Bombyx mori: one gene and its partner. The protein of the gene in region 1 binds, or shares a complex with, the protein of each later gene. Links are inferred from orthologs where the notes say so. Each region holds a gene or a part of one and is shown in the gene's direction. Other genes may lie near its edges. The genes, in order: mediator of RNA polymerase II transcription subunit 24 and mediator of RNA polymerase II transcription subunit 20.

What was found.
Region 2: mediator of RNA polymerase II transcription subunit 24 (region 1) and mediator of RNA polymerase II transcription subunit 20 share a complex: the UniProt entries of both Drosophila melanogaster proteins name them as parts of the mediator complex. The link is inferred for Bombyx mori from reciprocal best matches to the Drosophila melanogaster genes MED24 and MED20.

What each region holds. Positions count from the first base shown.
Region 1 is NC_085113.1:5,799,997-5,806,944, reverse strand, and holds mediator of RNA polymerase II transcription subunit 24, read left to right. Parts: upstream 1-2,088; 5' UTR 2,089-2,814; coding exon 2,815-5,742; 3' UTR 5,743-6,177; downstream 6,178-6,948. UniProt on the Drosophila melanogaster protein: Component of the Mediator complex, a coactivator involved in the regulated transcription of nearly all RNA polymerase II-dependent genes.
Region 2 is NC_085134.1:1,811,436-1,818,362, reverse strand, and holds the start of mediator of RNA polymerase II transcription subunit 20, read left to right. Parts: upstream 1-2,922; 5' UTR 2,923-2,958; coding exon 2,959-3,092; intron 3,093-5,689; exon of another isoform or gene 5,690-5,826; coding exon of another isoform or gene 5,827-5,840; intron 5,841-6,229; coding exon 6,230-6,372; intron 6,373-6,927. UniProt on the Drosophila melanogaster protein: Component of the Mediator complex, a coactivator involved in the regulated transcription of nearly all RNA polymerase II-dependent genes.

The sequences.
Region 1 (6,948 bases):
TTCTAGCCTTCTTTACTTTTTAAGTTTGATAAATTCCATTATGATTTCTGGCAATATCCCCACTTCGTGGAAATTACAAGAAGTAATCTCTATTTTAAAACCGAATAAGCCTCCTTCTGATGCGAACTCGTATAGACCAATAGCCCTCGCATCTGTTCTCGCAAAATTAACAGAACATCTAATAAAAAATCGGTTAGAATGGTTTCTTGAATCTAATGATATTCTTGCTCCGAACCAATACGGCTTTAGGAAAGGTCGGAGCACTATGGATAGTCTTGGAATATTTACAACTGATATTAGATTATCCTTTAGTAATAATGAATCAACACTTGCAGCATTTTTAGATATACATGCTGCTTACGATAACGTCGATCTTCACATATTAAAGCTAAAACTCCTTAAGCTCAATGTTCCCTTTTTGATTACTAATTTTATTATTAATTACTTGTCTGGTAGAGTAATAACTATGGATACGGGCGATTCAAACCATAAATCTAGAACTTTATGGAAGGGCTTACCCCAGGGATGTGTTATTAGCCCTACTTTGTATAACATTTACACACATGACCTAGATAAAGCAATTCAAATACCTAATGGTGATTCTAATAACGTGTCTATATTACAATATGCAGATGATCTAGTTTTATACGTTTCAGGGCGATCTGTTTTAGAATTAAGTGACTTTTTAAGTCGAGCACTGTCCAAACTTAAATTTTGGCTTGTCTCCAACGCTCTTAATCTTTCTGTTTCAAAAAGTTGCATTGTGTTATTTTCTAGAATGCGGCTTCCTCCTCCTGTTTCCGTATATTTTGATAATGAACTTATTCCATCTGAAAATGAAATAAAATTTTTAGGAGTTATTCTAGACGCCAAATTATCAGGTTTATCACATTGTTATTACGTTATAGCTAGATGCGAACGAGTTTTGAATATTATGAGATGTTTAACTGGAGTCTGGTGGGGTGGACATCCATATAATCTAAAGCTCCTATACAACGCTCTCATACGAAGTATTTTAGATTATGGTACTTACTTTCTTGAACCATGTAATGCAGTCGGACTAAATAAGCTTGATGGCATACAATCAAAAGCTCTCCGTTTAATAACCGGTGCAATGAAATCTAGTCCTATCAATGCTTTACAAGTTGAGTGTGTTGACCCTCCTCTGCGACTCCGTCGTCAATATCTTTGTGACAAGTTTCTGTTCCGTGCTCTACAATTTACCAAGCATCCCCTTCATACCAAATTATCTACTTTATCACATTTAGTTTCATCTTCCCCCTACTGGAGGCACAAGTCTCTACCTTGTTTAGTCGTGAGTTTTCGTAAATTTTCCTCTTTGCTTGCCCCCACTCACATGTCTCATCGTCTCTCTATTTTTTCTGCTGAATATGAAGCATTAACTCTTGTTCCTAAAATTCATTTTACCTTAGATATATCTCGATCTATTTTTTCTGCCAATATCGATTTTAATATCATCTTAGATAGAGAGTGGTCAGATCGACATTACATTTATAGCGATGCATCTAAAAATTCTTCCTCTGGTCTCGTTGGTGTTGGAGTTTATCATCAACAATCAAAAATTGTCCAAAAAATTAAACTTCCACCAGAAAGCTCTGTTTTTACTGGGGAATGCTACGGATTATTTAAAGCTATAGAATATGTTAATTTGATGAAATTACATAAATCTGTTATTTTTTCTGATTCCAAAAGTGCGCTTCAGGCACTTCAGAAATTTCCTTTCAAATCTTGCGCCAATTACCCTGTTATTGTAGATTGTAGAAAATTACTGTGGGAATGTAATTTAAAAGGTTTCGATGTAATTTTTGCCTGGATTCCTAGTCACGTGGGTATTTCTGGCAATGAATTTGCTGATAAACTTGCCAATGATGCTGTGGATTGTGGAGATATTTATCCATACAAAATCTTCATAAATGATCTTTTGTGTCTTCCGAATTCAGACCTGCGCGAATCTTGGGGACAAACATGGGCTATTTCTAGTCAATATAAAGGAAAGAATTATGCCCAAATACAATCTGTCATTCCTACCAAGCCTTGGTTTTACAATTTTAGATTTAATAAGATCACGACTACTATCATAATCCGGATGAGACTGGGTCATGCTTGCACTCCATCTCATTTGACTAGATTGGGTATAGTCAATAACAATATGTGTGATTGCGGCGCTGATGTTGGCAATTTAAATCATATTTTTTTCGCGTGCTCCTTAAATGACTGTTCCTCATTTATTGATTTATTAACATCCCTTGGTATTCCACTCCCGACTTCTATTAATACTTTGCTGTGTACTATGAACTATGATATTTATTTATGTATTTCAAATTTTATCCTGAAACATAATATCAAATTGTAATTATGTATATAAATACCTACCTGATCCATTCTTTTTAATTATCCGTTTTTTCCTTTTTCTCCTGTTTCCCTACCTTTACCCTTGTATGTGGCTAAATGCACAAACAGTGCAAGCTAAAAAAGAAAAAAAAAAAAAAAAAAAAAAAAAAAAAAAAAAAATGTCTATTTTGTGATTGGGCTATTATTATTCAAGTTTGATCATATAAAGTAATGTTTATTCTCAAATGCTCGCTATAAATAAAATATCTTTAAAAATGTGATAAACTTAATATGCCACACAAATATAACGAATTAATTTCAATATTCAACAGTGAACAAGAAAATGTAATTTGTAACCTCAAAGACTAGTAGTAAAGTGTTGTTTAAACGACTAATATCACGTCAAAAATGTGTGAAATGTAAGAAAGAAACATTATTGTGCTCTAATAAAATACAATAAAAATGGATGCTTCCAAAATAACGAGTAAAACTAGTTCACTAAAAGCTTTAATTTTAAAAGCTTGGAAAGAACGATGGACTGATATTCAATGGGGCATCAACATCAAAACTATACTGCCGAGGGGCGTCAGTGGTGACCTATATAATCTGGCTGATTGTATTCTTCAACAAGCCATGGTAGGCTGTGGGGCCAATCAGTTAGTGATATCGTATTTGAAACATTCACTTGCGTGTCATTTGGTCTCTTTCGCGGCTGTGTTACAACGAATCGCAAAATTTGATGCTTTTCACAAACCTCATTGTATAATAAGCTTGTTGGAGTTCCTTGAAACCTTTTTGGAGAGTATTACATGCAGAGGCAAGTTAGAAGAAGAAGTTTTAGCTTATGCTGTATCATCTATAATATTGTGGCTTTTACAAGTATTTCACTATTCATTAACCAAGTATCCAGCTTCAAGTTCTGTTCAAAGTCAGGAATTATTGGAGAAATCATCAGTTTTACTGAACTCTATTGTTAATACAGATTTTCTGATTGCAATGTTCTATTTGGCCAAGCAGAATGATCCTGATGAGTATAACGAAGTGACAAAGAAATGTCAAGAGATAACAGCATTTATGATGATGAACACTCAATTCAAACCTCCGATGACCATACATGTCACTTTACACAAAATCTGCAATATGGAATTGGATAAAATAGCACCCTTAAACAATAAACCAGAAGCTGTAACCTATTGTCTGCAGGCTTTAATAGCTATAAATGTGTTCTCAAACCCTAGTGCAGGCATGCAACAGATCTCCAGCCAACTACTAATGGTTCAGAAAATAAAAGGCTATTCATTGTCACGTCTCTACTGTGAACTTATTAGAGCTTGTTTCATTTCACTAAATGATTCTAGTAATGATGCATCGAAGCAATCATTGTGGGCTGCATTCACTTTTCTAAAAGTTCCACAAGTGATAAATCACCTCCATAATATGTGTGGGACAACAAATAAGGAAAGTGAATATTCTACTGAGGTTGTGGAAGCTTTTGAAATGTTATTACAATCAGCTCCACTCCTGGATATTGTTGATACGAAGAATTCTTGTAATAGTGTTATTTCACTTATAGAGCCATTAGTTAAACTTAATGTTCTGTCAGATAATACTTTGACATATTTTAAACAAAAACGTGAGACTATTGATCATCCTTTACAAAAATTTGAGCCAATAGGATTACAAGGCTCAGTCCCATTATTTATAACTCGTGTTGAACCTACATTGGCAGAGATTTTAAAAGCATTGAGTGGTGAATTTCACAAAACTCAAGAGTCGCTCTATATCATGCTATGCCAAATAGTTGGTCGAACTACATTGGATACCATCCTGGCCGTTGCAACTGTGGAAGGAAAACTAAAAATGTTTGTGTCAAGACTCATTAAGTTTAATGAATTTGCATTGTTTGCTGCAAGTGAAAAAGGTGCACCACAATCAAAAGTATATATATTTGACATTTCATTTTTGCTTTTATGTTGGATAGTCCAAGATTATGGAGCTGATGTTGTTCTAGAAGAAAATGGTGATTCATTTTTTGAGAAATGGGTAAGGGATTGTATGGTACATAAAGGAAATTATAAATCTTCAGATCAGATACTTCAGAAATGTGATCATGTTGTTGATGTTATCATTCACCATTTGAGTGCTCCTGACTTTGATTTCAAAAATACTAATGTCAAACCTCATGATCTTTGTATGAATATCACTGGTGCAGTCAAAGAGGTTCTTTTTGCTTGGGAACAAGGTCTACTTTCGGCAACAGATGTTAAAAGAATGTTGGATTCTATAAGACAAAAAATGGCTTCCTTGGCAGTGTGTGCATCAGTATGGCTTTGTTCATACATCAATGTTGTCCATCAAGATGCATCAATAAAACCCATGAATATGGTTCAGCAATTTTTAACATCACCTACTGAATTAGAATTAACTCAAATAGACAATTTTCAAGAAAGAGCAATTTTGATGTGTCAGATAATAAGAAAATTACTGTTTAAAATTCATCCTACCTCAATGCCAAAATCAAAAGAGCAGCAGTTGCCATACAGTATCACCTCTCGCAAGCCAATATTAGAGCAACTACAAAGCATTTGGGAAAATATAAAGTCTAGAGGATACCTTCATATTGATGCTACCCATCTCGTTGAGAATCTTTTGAACACAACTGGCCCAATATGGTTTGTGACGAACTTAGTGAAAGAGACATTAAAATTTCGGTACCAAGTAGATCTCGATAGATCTGTTGATATTGTGTTGGCGATGTTCCATTTGGACATAGAAAAGTGCACAGGAGCACTTTTATTACATGTTCTACCACAATACCTGTATAATTCTAAGTTGTCTGAAGAGCTAGTTGAACCCCAGTCTTCTGTATTAGCCAAGCTAGCAGTGTATTGCATATATGCTGCCTTAGATTACAGCAACACTAAAAAGTCGCATTTTTCGAGGAAGCGTCGTCATGACGAAGTTGAGGATTTGGATGCGATGTCGTCTAGTAAAATGCGGAAACTCAACGACAATACATCCGATGGAAGTGGTGTTTATTATTGTAAGGGACAAGGATATGAAATATCATTAAAAGAACCATTGTTGTCAGCTTTAGAAACGCTGTATGCGTCCTTTTCACAACTAGCTGGCAAGGACGGAAATATCACACCCCAAACACATTTTATACTTCAGTTCTTGATTTATGTGGTTCAATGTGGCCAAGATAGGGCCCAGTTAGTATTACAGAAAATGCCTAGTGAACTCGTACCAACTTTAATTAAAGCTCTACCTGACAATTTTAACATTGGTCTGATTTTACGCTTATATAATTTGAATACTGCTTACGGAAGAAAAGACACCGCGAGAGATCTATGCCTTTTACGAAATATGAGGTTAAGGCCAGAATAATAAATAAAAAATCATAGTAATAAATTAATAAGATAATTTATTTTAAGATATATATAATGAAATACATTAATTATTTTGATTTATTAAAAAAAAATCTTTTATTTTAGTTTTAAATATAGTCAGTATCAATTTTTACAGTTTTATTATGGGAACACTCATAATAAATAGTTCTTCCACCCGTATTATCCTACTTCTATCGTTTTTCCAAATAATTTATTAAATAATATTTAATAACATTTTAATATAATGTAGGATGCGTTTTAAGTTATACTAGGCACTGATAAGTTGTGTATTCAGCTTTTTTAATGTACACTGTATACTGCAAAGAGTATATATATCAAGCCGAAAATTGTAAATGCTCTTCTATTAGAATAATCGATACGACGAAGAAATAAGATTCCCAATAGTTTCGGAATAAAGAGTATCTGATCATAACGAACAAGCTATTATATTGTCAACCCATGAATTGCGTAAATTACGTAATAATAATAATAAGAACACTTTATTTAACATAATATGTACAGAGTGAGCAAATAAAACAAATAATAGTTGGTGACATAAATTGGCGGCCTTATCGCTGAAAGCGATCTCTTCCAGGCAACCTTGCAGGGAGAGGAATAAGCGAACTGGACGGTGCTATATTATAATAAACTTACATTACTTATATACACATGTGAAAAATAAATACAATATAAGATAGACTTACATACGATTAAATACAAATAAATACCTACTAAAAATATGCAAGTAAATACAAAATAAGTAGCAACTTGTACAGTTATATTGTAGGAGCCATATTATTGTGCAAGGTAGTGCGATTTTAATCTGAATTTGAAAATTATACGTAAGATATTATGATTCGTATTAAAACAACAAGGCTGGTCATCTACCGCAGATACGATTTTTTTAGATGGTGAACGAACTCATGGTTAACCCTTTGACTGCCATGTAGGTCACCGATGCCCTACGTGGCGCACTGAAATAATTATGTCGATTTCTCTCTTCGATCTTCTTACTAAGGCACCGGAATATCTAGTAGACACTGGGAAAGATGAATCCGTAGATACTGAGAATGAATATGTTTTTAAGAGACCTAAAAGACTAAAATAGACATTAACAAATAAAATAATGCAATGTTTGGCAATCCAGGTGCTTAGTAACAGAAATCGGCCAAATAACTTCAGTGGGCCGCGTAGGGCACCGGTG
Region 2 (6,927 bases), on another chromosome or scaffold:
ATACTTCCAAATATAATTAAAGAAGAAATCACTTTGGTTGGTACCTACATGAAACTACTTTTTTTTTATGGCGTTATGTCCTGGTAACACATGGAAATACCACATTTTACCATATTTTACATTAGCGTAAAATAAAAAAGGAACGGTCAATTAAAAAAACGAAATATATATTCAGTTTACTATTAATTCGAATAAAATGCTATATTTTAACTTACATTAACATACTTATGTGTGTCTCAATAATAAATACTTAGATAATTATGTTTTACCTTGACTACTGTAAGCGTATTGATTTTGAAGTACAATAGTACAAAAGCTTAAATAAATGTACTGGTGCAAGAAATCCGACAGTTTTTTAGCTATGTAATGTTAAGATTTTATATGAAAGAATAAGCAGACTCTTTTTATTATCATCAGTTATATTTTATTCACACGACACAATCTTATTAAGTAGAGAATGTATCCATGGTAGCGAGTCAACATTACTAGTGCGGCGACACGCAGCTAGTGCTATATCTCAACACTCCTCCTAAATGATAACTTGGTTTACAGTTATTATTTAATACACAACTATATCTAACTTAAACAAACAGTAAACTAACTAATTATGAATTAGCACAAGAACTTATCAATGCATTTATAAAACTTGTCTGTGCTCAAACTTTTAGTCATAACATCCGCTAAATTTTCATTGGTACAAATATGTTCTATGCTGATCACCTTATTGACAACCAAGTCTTTTATATAATGAAACCGTATATCAATGTGTTTTGTACGCTTAGAGTTCTCGTAATTCTTGGCCATTGATATTGTACTTTTGTTGTCAACAAATAGCACGGCCACAACCTAGGTGCTTACATATGCCTTTTAAATTAACAATTTCCTGTGCTAATGATGCGGCGGCTACATACTCGCTTTCGGCAGACGATAAAGTTACGCATTGTTGCTTCTTTGAAAACCAAGCAATGGGGTTTTGCCCTTGTAGGATAATACCACCGCTAACACTTTTTCTGTCGCTTCTATCTCCAACCCAATCGGCATCAGAAAATCCGTATACATTATTGTCATTTGTCTTTTTAAATAATAATCCTTTTTCTATTGTTTCTTTCAAATAACGTACTACTCTTTTTCCAGCTTTCCATAATTCTTCGTTCGGTTTATCTAAAAATCTGCTCAGATATGACACTGCAAATGTTAAATCCGGTCTTGTTGTTACAGTAAGATAAATTAAACTTCCTATTAATTCTCGATATGGTACGTCCAAAACTTCTGTATTGTCCTTTATTTCTATATTGTAATTTCTTTCCATGGGAGTTTTAATTCCGTTACATACATCCATTTTGAATTTAGTCAATATCTTTTCAATCATTTTAGTTTGTTTCAGTTCTAATGTATCTTTATTTCTTTTAACTTCCATTCCGAGAAAGTTCTTCATTTCACCCATATATTTTGCGTTAAACTCCTCCTTAAGTGCTTTAATAATATCTTCCCCGTTTCCAATGATTAGGTATCGTCCACGTAAATCAGCATCCAGCAATCTTCTTTGTAATACAAACAGTAATCATATTCTGATCTTTGGAATCCGTTAGCTTTCGCAAATTCGTCAAGTGTTTCATTCCAACATTTTGGTGATTCAATCAATCCATATAATGCTCTCTTTAGTTTTAATGCTGTATTATTATTTTTTATTTCTAATCCTTGGGGTATTTTGATAAATACATCAGACTTCAATTTTCCATTTAGGAATGCAGTGGGAATGTCTAGTTGAATAATCTTTAAATCATCTTGTACAGCTTTTGATAAGATCATTCTTATGGTAGAATGTCTAGCAACGGGTGCATAAACGCTGTCAAAAATATCTTTTTTCTTTTGTTGGAAGCCTCTAGCTACCAGTCTTGCCTTTTTTGTTCCATCTTCTTTTAGTTTAAATATCCATTTTGTATCAATGAGCTTTCTTCCATCGGTTATTTCTTGTTCTTCCCACGTTTCTAGTCTTTGGAGTGCATCTAGTTCTTTATTGATTGCGTTTTTCCATTCTGGTTCTTTTATAGCTTCTTCGAAAGTTTCTGGTGCATTTGCACTCAGACATATAACAATATTAGTTTCATTTATGTTTTCTATATTCGTCTCGTAATCTTTAAGATAAGCAGGAGGATTTATCGTTCTTTTGGGTCTGATTATTGCTTCTTCAATTTGATCAGTGTTCATTTCTGCATCTTTAAATTCATCTTCCTGTTCTACAATATCTTGCTTTTCTTTATTGATTTCTTCTTCTTTGTCTTGAATATATCTAACTTGTTTCACTTCTTCTTTGTTTTTGAATTTAATGTCGCTTTCATCAAATCTTACATCTCTGGAAATAACTATTTTATCTTCTTCTGGATCCCATAATCTGTAACCAACAGTTCCATAACCTACCATTCTTGTTTCTTTTGCTCTCTTGGCAAACTTGTCCGGTTTGGGTACTATAGTAGCCCAAGCTTTGGAACCAAATACTCTCAATCTCGATATGTCGTTTTTACCAAAAAATATTCCGCTGGGTGTCTTGAAGCTTATGGCCCATGATGGCGATCTGTTTAATTGGTAAACTGCACATTGTATTGCTTCGCACCACAGATGTTTTGGCAAATTGGTTTCCGCTAATAGAGTCCTCGTTTTGTCGCATAATGTGCGGTTCATTCGTTCTGATATGCCATTAAGTTGTGGCGTGTACGGTAATGTGTATTCTAAACTAATACCTCTATTTATGCAAAAAAGTTTCAAACTGTTAGCAGTGTACTCTCCACCATTATCGCATCTAATTCTTTTAACTTTATTCCCCGTTTCGTTTTCAATTCTTAATACATAGTTCATCAGTCGTTCTGTTGCTTCAGATTTGCTCTTCAGGGGATACACTACGCAAAAATGAGAGAAATCGTCAATAATTTTCATAAAATATTTTTCACCATTAGGTCCTTGATGTCTGATCGGTCCTGCTATGTCTGTGTGAAGCATCTCGGCTGTCATTTTTGTTCTAGGCTTTGGGATAGGCGTGAACGGGCTTCGGGTGGCTTTGCCCTCCATACAAGGACTGCAAATTCTATTAGATACAGGTAAGTTTAGTATATTAAGGCTTTTCCTATTTAAGTGACCTAAACGTTTGTGCCATAGATCTGTCGCATCAGTAATATTACAGACTTCGGACTTACATAATTCGGCTTGTAGCTTATACAACTTTCCTTGCACGATGCCGCGTAAAAATGTCTTTTTATTAAATATTTTAACATTGTATTTATTAAAGTTTATGTTAAAACCTGCCTCGACAATCTTTTTTACTGATAATAAATTGTATGAAACATCTTTCACAATTAGAGCATCAATATTAATCGTAGTATTTTGATATTTTACTTTAAGTTTACCTCTTTTACTAGTTGTAATACATTGGCCGTTAGCTACGAATATTTTGACATGTTTATCTAAATACGTAATATCCGTCATATAATTTTCATATTTTTCATTTATTAAATGCTCCGTACATCCTGAGTCTATAATTAGTTCTATGTTACCACATTCACCCACATTAGCAATAATATCGCTAGCAATGAAACCTATTTCTTTATTTTCTGTGCCTGCTGCTGAAGCATGTTGATACGTTGTATGTCGTGAACTTGAATTTCCTCTAAATGAGCGTCCACACGATCTTGGATAGCTCCGTCCTCGTGTCAATGACTGTCCTCTACTCGGCGCTTGTCCTCGTCCTGATCGGCATTCGAATGATTTGTGTCCACGTTTTCCGCAGGAGTGGCACGTGATGAAGGCATTATTCTCATAACCTTCACTATTTCTGTCCATTTTTAACTTTGTCTCCATATCGAGTAGTCTTGCTTTAACAAATTCTATGTTCAGTTGTTTCTCGGAACCCATAGTCTCAATTGATGTAATTAATTGATCGTATATCTTTGGTAAAGAAGACAGCAGATAGCAAATTTGGTCTTCTACTTCGACGCTTACGTTGATTGCCGCTAATTCGCTAAGAATTCCTTCAAATTTTAGGAAAAATTGCTGTAAGTTGCTTTCATCATCATAGCACATTGTTATGAGTTTCCGTTTTAAATAAAATTTATTACAGACTGTTTTTCGTTCAAATATGGCCTCCAATGACGTTAGCATTTCTTTTGTCGTATTCGCATTTTTTACGATGTAAATATATTTGTCGCTCAGACATTGTACCAAAATTGATTTTGCTCGTGAGTCATCCTGATCCGTCGGTTTCTCTTTTAAGAATACATTGCTTAATTACTTTTCTTCCAGCAGTAATTTCAATCTAAATTTCCAATGACTAAAATTTGAATTTTCAGTCAAAATCGGCAGAAGAGACCTCGCAGTTGTCATCTTTCTTTTTTATAATTTTCGCCGATATTATTTCTAGTGGATCGCAACCCAATATATTTTTATTTACTTACTGCACACGCGGTCTGCTACCATGTTAAGATTTTATATGAAAGAATAAGCAGACTCTTTTTATTATCATCAGTTATATTTTATTCACACGACACAATCTTATTAAGTAGAGAATGTATCCATGGTAGCGAGTCAACATTACTAGTGCGGCGACACGCAGCTAGTGCTATATCTCAACATGTAAGATAAGGACTCAGTCGATACTGTTAGTAGTTTCTCGGGTTCTTTTAAAATTATCTTTGAATTCTCACCAAATTCTAACTATTTTAACTAGAGATTCTTTTATTTCATCTCATCCAAAAACTATGGTGTTGTCTGTTATCATTGCCTTTAATCTTGTCCCATTAGGTACTAATATTATAAAGAGGAAAGATTTGTTTGTTTGTTTGTTTCGAATAGACTCCGAAACTACTGGACCAATTTGAAAAATTCTTTTTCCATTAGAAGCCGACATTGTCCCTGATGAACATAGGCTAATTTTTTTTAATTTTTTTTATTTTATTTTTTTGGTTTCATGTGTGTTTTAATGTTTCCGAAGCGAAGCGAGGGCGGGTCGCTAGTTAGGTATAATTTCTAATAGATAATGTAGATTTTCCCACCGTCTAGTATCCGAACTTCTTAAAAACAGTCTGTCAAGTGTATTGGGATCCAAGCGGTTCCGCTCATCACTTGCGTTATTGCAGGCAATTGAAGCGCTCTCACAAGGTAAAGATGATGCCTCAATACTCATATACATCATGGCTCTGTTAGCACATCCCACTTCTCCTGGATGAGCCTTTGCTCGCCCACATGTCCTGGTGAAACTGGAAAGGCCTCTGGCCCACCAGTGATCCCTCATTCATAAAAGAAAAACATGGCTATTGAGTGGACGTAGTGTTAGATGGTTTTTTTTCTTCTTTTCTTGCCAGTGAAGTATGTGGTCATACTTCAGGTACACAACTGCCTGCAAATAAATAGTGTTCAATTTCTTCGTCTAAGCCTTCATTTCTCAGTGCAATAAATGTAAAAAGTTGCTTTTTCATCAGCAATTTATGAAAATCCCAAATTACTTCTTCCGTATCAGTTCGATTCCGTCGACTTCTTCACTATTATTTTGTGGAAGTTGTTCTTGTGATTTACTATCTAAAATTGAAGTATTTATTCTATTTATTGCTTGATAACAGGCTAATTGTAAATAAATTACTGGTTTTTACCAAAACCGAAAAAATCAACATCGATATTCAAGGGTCAAATATCGATGCAGTGAATCGATTCAGATTCGATTAATCGATCTCAGATAGGCACCCCTGTCTATTACTAATATTAAATTGCAAGCCCTCTGCCTGCCCACTGCCATAGCGACTAAAATAATTTAATAATCTGTGCTTTGTATACAAACAATCTATAATGGGGGTAACAGTGTAAGTGTGCAAATTTAATAAATAGAACGTTATTATTGTGTGGTATTCCTATAATTACATTCATAAAAATATACCGCGATGTATAATACTAATACTAATAAAAGTAATAACTCTATGTAAAGGTAGAAAGTAAACTTCTTGACTTCATACGTTATCTCAAATTCTTCTTTAACCTTATCCGGTGTATGAAAACTATCCCCGAATAAAAATACATGTTAGTGTAGCTTATTTTTGACACAGTTTGGCCAGACTGAAGGAAGAGTATCATTAAAAATAATAACGAAACAAATCTATTTATTATGTTTTTGATACAACTACAAAATCTACCATAAAAAAATCGTGAAGAGTGGATTATATTTAATAAACTGTTTCAATTATTAACTTGACAGCTTACAGCAATATCCAGTGCCAGAGAACAAGACCGGAACATATGTAGTGGAGTTACTTACAAAGCGTATCTTAGCATTAGGGGCGACACAACAAGGACAGTTCCTGGTTGATTGCGAGAGTTATTTATCACATCCACTCATGGGTACGTGTTTACTGAATCCAAGCTAAAAGTAAAAAGAAAGACACATTCCACTTAGCGATTTATAGAGAAATCACACAGCCCATCGCCAATACATGGATATGACATATTTGAAAATATTTCAGACATTACAAAGGTGTCAGCTAGTTTATTGTACTTAAAGTCCTCGTGGCCTATGTGGCCCGAAGGTGGGTACCAATTTTCGAATGAAATACGTACTTAACAAATATTCACGATTGACTTCCACAGTGAAGGAATAACATCGTGTAATAAAAATCGAACCCGCAAAGTTATAATTTGTGTAATTGCTGGCGGTAGGACGTCTTGTGAGTCCTCACGGTTACCACCATCACACCTATTTCTGCTGTGAAGCAGTAATGCTTTTTGGTTTAAAGGGTGGGGCAGCCGTTGTAACTATACTGAGACCTTAGAACTTATATCTCAAGGTGGGTGGGGCATTTATGTTGTAGATATCTATGAGCTCCAGTAACCACCATCCATCCACTTAACATCAGGTGGGATGAGAGCTCCCATCTAAGCAATAAAAAATAAAATGCA